Yarrowia lipolytica: one gene and its partner. The protein of the gene in region 1 interacts with the protein of each later gene in a pairwise test. Links are inferred from orthologs where the notes say so. Each region holds a gene or a part of one and is shown on either strand. Other genes may lie near its edges.

The links. The genes of interacting proteins can lie anywhere in the genome.
Region 2: the proteins of YALI1_C25367g (region 1) and YALI1_B14680g interact in binary tests that used the Saccharomyces cerevisiae proteins (3 or more experiments, as listed by UniProt). The link is inferred for Yarrowia lipolytica from reciprocal best matches to the Saccharomyces cerevisiae genes CBP3 and MRPL4.

What each region holds. Positions count from the first base shown.
Region 1 is NC_090772.1:2,535,316-2,537,501, forward strand, and holds YALI1_C25367g (uncharacterized protein), read right to left. Parts: upstream 1,416-2,186; coding exon 501-1,415; downstream 1-500. UniProt on the Saccharomyces cerevisiae protein: Chaperone required for the assembly of ubiquinol-cytochrome c reductase of the mitochondrial respiratory chain.
Region 2 is NC_090771.1:1,466,340-1,468,979, forward strand, and holds YALI1_B14680g (mitochondrial 54S ribosomal protein uL29m), read right to left. Parts: upstream 1,684-2,640; coding exon 661-1,683; downstream 1-660. Other genes in the region: YALI1_B14658g (uncharacterized protein), read left to right, coding at 1-226; YALI1_B14686g (uncharacterized protein), read left to right, coding at 2,287-2,403, 2,558-2,640. UniProt on the Saccharomyces cerevisiae protein: Component of the mitochondrial ribosome (mitoribosome), a dedicated translation machinery responsible for the synthesis of mitochondrial genome-encoded proteins, including at least some of the essential transmembrane subunits of the mitochondrial respiratory chain.

The DNA of each region.
Region 1 (2,186 bases):
CCAAGTGGTAAAAAATTTGGGTTCTTTTCCATGTACGATAAATGCGCGAGTTGCTTGCTTAGTCAGATGGGAGTGATATGGGCCGAGGTAACTGCACGTGTCGGATGAAGTGAGACATTTATTTATTCCAATTGAACCACCCAGACGAGTCCGTTTATTTATTGCCTGCTTCGAATACAAATAGTGAACTCCTCTAAGTTGGTTGCTTTTCCCCGTTGGTTCTAGTGTGATGTTGATCGTGTTTGGGTTGGAGTATATTTGGTGGAATCGGTTTGGCGGCGGTTGGAGAATCTGGCGTGTTTGTGTGTCACGTGGTGTGTCACGTGGTATGTCACGTGACGGGATGTGATGATGAGAACCTGTGTGGTACCATGTGGTATCGTGTGGTTGATCTGTTATTCAGCATGATCTTGTGTGTATCGTAGACCTACTCGTACCAATACTCTCACAGCTAGGTGCGTGGTACTTGTTGTGCTCTTTTAATCAATTATATACATTGTCTACTGCAGCTTACTCTTGGCAGCAACGTTCTCCTTCTCCTCCTTCTGTCGACGCTCTTCACTGAGTCGGTGCATCTCCGCCTCCTGCTCCTTGGTCAATGGCTCGTACTCGCTCCAGGGATCGATGAAAGTAGAGTGACCTACAGCAAAGTCTCGATCGCTGGTCTTCTCAAATAGATAGAGCTGGGCCCGAACGTAGCCAACCACTCGCTTGATATGCTCCACGTCAACGTTGGGGTCTCCGTCAAACAAGTTTCTCCAGAGCGCAGCAGCCAGAACCGCATCGCCCTTGATGAGACCCTCGTCGTAACTGAGCATGGCTCCTCGCAGCTGCAGGTTGAAGTCCTTCATGTAATTTTGGATGATTCGGTTGCTGAGAATTCGAATCTCTGTGCTCAGCCGCTTCTCAATGTCGACAAACATGGCGTCCACTAGCAGCTGCTGGTACTCCTGGGCAACGGCAGGTGGCAGAGCTCGCATCCGCACAAACAGCATCCATTCGTGCAGAACGACAATCTGGAACCATCGCGCAAAGGTCATAGGCATTCCAAGCTCCTCGTACCAAAACTTGGCGGTCTCGGACAGCACCGGTGGCTTGACGGGCTTGACGGGCTTACGTCGATCCTTCTTGTTTTCCTCCTTGGAAAGCGGGTCTCCGAGATCCACAAGAGCCTGGGCCTTGCACAGGTTGTAGTAGTAGCCTCCGGCCACGGGAGCGGCTCGGAACTTGTCCATGTTGATGTTGAACAGAGACACAATGCCCTCTCCCACCTTTTGCTTCCATGTGTTGGGGGTGGGCGAAGCATCCTCGGTGAAAAAGGGCAGAGGGGCGTTCTCCTTCTTGCTGTAGCATCGCGCGGTCAGTGGTCGCGCCACACCAACCCGAACTGCTTGTCGAATAGCAGGTCTCAGCATTTTAATGATGGAATGTCCGACGGTGAGAATTTCAAAATTAGGTTCGTCTCCTACAACGAGTCAATATGCAGCAAATGGGAGATCAGTTGTTGTCGGGGCTTAGTCAGCGAAGATCTGGAACGGAACAAGTCATCGGAGCAAAGTTGTGGACAACAGGCAATTGTCTCAGTGGTGTTTATTTACAGAGTTTCAAGGTCTCAGGGTGTCCAGGAGGCTGTCGGGGGACGAGTCTTTCAACTGTATGAAAAGTACAGTATGTACATACATAGTGTCCATAGTCGTAAGAGAGTGTTTCAAATCGGTCATGTATGGATGTTTTTTCCGACAAAAAAGACCAAAATCTAAAGTGACACTCGCAAAACCTCCATTTAGCTATTTTTCGCAACTAAAACCCTTCCGCTTGACGAGTTGTAGTGCTCCTGTTCCGATGCTCGTTATTCTTAAGTTATTCTTAGGTCACGTGCACCTCGGAGTATGAAGAACTCTATATAGCTTCCCCGAGAAGAGCTCCAGGAATGTGGGACCTACTTGTACTGTACCACTGTATTCTATCGATCTTTAAACGGTGATGTACTAGGATACAAGTACACTACTCGTACCGGTACGACCAATGTTGCTCGAAATCACAGCTCCAAAGACACGTTTGTTTTAGACCAACTATAGCCGACCCCCCCCCCCCCCCCCCCCCATCCCAATTCTTGGAGACTTGTTGATTTGGTGTATCCTCGGTGGTATCAGATTGTGCAGAGGCTTACTACGGTTTTCACAATC
Region 2 (2,640 bases), on another chromosome or scaffold:
GTACCCGCAAAAGACGTGCTTTGTGCCCTTTAACCACGTGTGGGTCGAGGGCGACAACATCCATTCGTTCGACTCCAACAACTTCGGTCCAGTGTCACTCGGTCTCATGCATGGCAAGTGTCCCAAGGTGCTGTGGCCATTTAACCGTTTTGGAGCTATTCCTGACGGAGGACGAGAGGCCCGGAAGGAAAAGTTGGGGTATGTTGATGATGTTGTTGAGGGCTAACTGCGGAGAGCGTAACGAGCCGTGGTTAGAAGCGACAAGCTCCATTGCAATCCTCTACCACTCAGAGACTGTATATATTTGCATTTGACGATTTGATGACTAATTTCAGTAAGTCATGATGAACCAATACTTGCGTAGGGTACTTTTGGACAGACAATACTGTAATGTACTGTAATGTACTCGTAGTGGAGATGGTTTCGATCTACAAGTACATACTGTAATGGAGGTTGAGGTAACCGTAGTTACATCCTCTTCCATGAAAGGCTTTGTACGCTCAGACAGGCTACACAGCATTCTCATCAGCCGTAACACTCATGAATTGTACACTATCGTCAGTAGTACAGTTGTACCCATATACAACATTTACTCCCACTCATACACACTACCCACTATCTGTTATCATATCGTTACTATATACATGACTCTTATATACATCACTCCTTGGGGAGCTTGTTAAGGAACTGGGCAGGAATGTTCTCCAGAATGTCCTGCTCGGACAGATCCAACTTTTTGTTCTTCAGAGCCTCCTCAAACACGGCGGCGGCGCCCATCTTCTCCTCCACAAGATGTTGCAGCACCCGGATGGCGTTCCAGGGAGCCACGGGCAGAGGGTTGGACTCTCGGTACTGTTTGATGTAGCTGAGGGCCTCGGCGACTCCCTCGGTGGTGTCATTAGCCAGGAACATGAGGTACTGCTCAAAAATGTCTCGCTTGGGCTGGTGCACAAAGCCGTGGTTGGCAATGGGATTGCCGTTCTCGTCGGTGGCTCCGCTGTATCGCTCGTACTTGAGCTTGGCACCGTACTTGACGGCCTCGATAATCTTCTCGTCCACCTGCACGCCAGCGTTGGCTCGGGGGTCGGTGGAGAAGCCGTAGTAGGCGACAAGGTGTCGCTCGAGCTCCAGAGACAGCTCGCTGTCGTAGACGGCGTCAGCAGTGACGTACTTTTCGTCAAATTCGGCGTTGGCCTGGGCTCGCACCTCGGGAAGCACCTGCTGGACCTCCTCAAACGCTCTGTATCGCTCGGCCAGTACGTGTCGAATGTTGACCATGGTTTCGCCGACTCGGTCATGCTCGCTTCTGTAACCACCGTTCTGGTTCTCAAAGTGCATTCGGGTGGTGACTCGTTCCTCCTTCAGAAGAATGTTTCGCTCCTTGAGACACACGTACCACAGAGCATGGAGATCCTCAAACGACTTTCGTCGCAGCTCGGCCACACTCCAGGGTCGCGTGCTGCTGTCAAAGCTCCGCTGATCCCGTACAATTTTCTTGTCCTTGCAAAAAAACTGCCACAGAGGATGCGAATCGGGTACCTCGATATTGTCCAGAGCAGGCGCAATAGGGGCCTTGAGCTCCAGCTTTTTGACAAACTCGTTGCCGGTCACGGAGCCGGGCAGCGGCTTGGGCCACTTCTTACGACCCTGTCGAACAGCCGATGTGTGTAGCGATCGGATCATGGTTGTGTATGTTCTGTTGGATACAGTCGTCAGTTGAAAAAATCGCTTGGGAATCTGGAACTTTATTCTCCCACAGGATTTCACCTCCCAAATTTCGCTCGGTAGGTGCTAGCAGAATAGGGTTTCATGTCATGTGACGCGTGTAGAGAGGATCAGTAATAGAAATGGTCTTCAGGGCACCTAATTGTTCATTAAAAAGATGTCAAGTCCTTAACATCTGACTTCTTTCAATGTCAGGACTTCCAAAACATGATGGTCCCTCTTCCTTGTGATGTTCGGCACCATATTCTCTCTCTACTGGTACAGTATGTAGTTATACCCACTCACATTTCTACCCACTACTAGTGCTATACTTACAGTCACCTGAAACGGTGTTGACGCTATATAGACCGACCACCATGCGACATACTAGACACCTATTAAGAGATCAGTTACACTAACGACATCCCCTGTTGCAACCACTACCTCCTATCATACCAATACCACATCGTCTTCTGCACATCCAGCTGCCACCTCTACACTCCTCCCAACCTACCCTAACCCCATACTCTCACCATCTCAGACACTAATCAGCATCTATCGACAGACACACCACACATCACAATGACCGACGTCGACACTTCAGGCGGCTCTGAGCCCCTTGATCTCATTGGTCTTTCTCTCAACGAGAACGTTTTCGTCAAGCTCCGTGGAGGACGAGAGCTTTATGGACTTTTGCATGTGAGTAGCAATGTGAAGGACAATGAGAAGATGGCAGGCAAGTCAAGATCGGTATGAATCGGATACATATCCACTGAACATGATACATGTGTAAATGTAATGTCTGTTGCTGTCCGCTAATGACCTGTCCTAGTCCATTCTGTTACTAACCCAGGCCTACGATATCCACTGCAGTATGGTGCTTGGAAACGTAGAGGAAACAGTCTTCGAGTACGTGGAGGGCAGTCCAAAACTGGA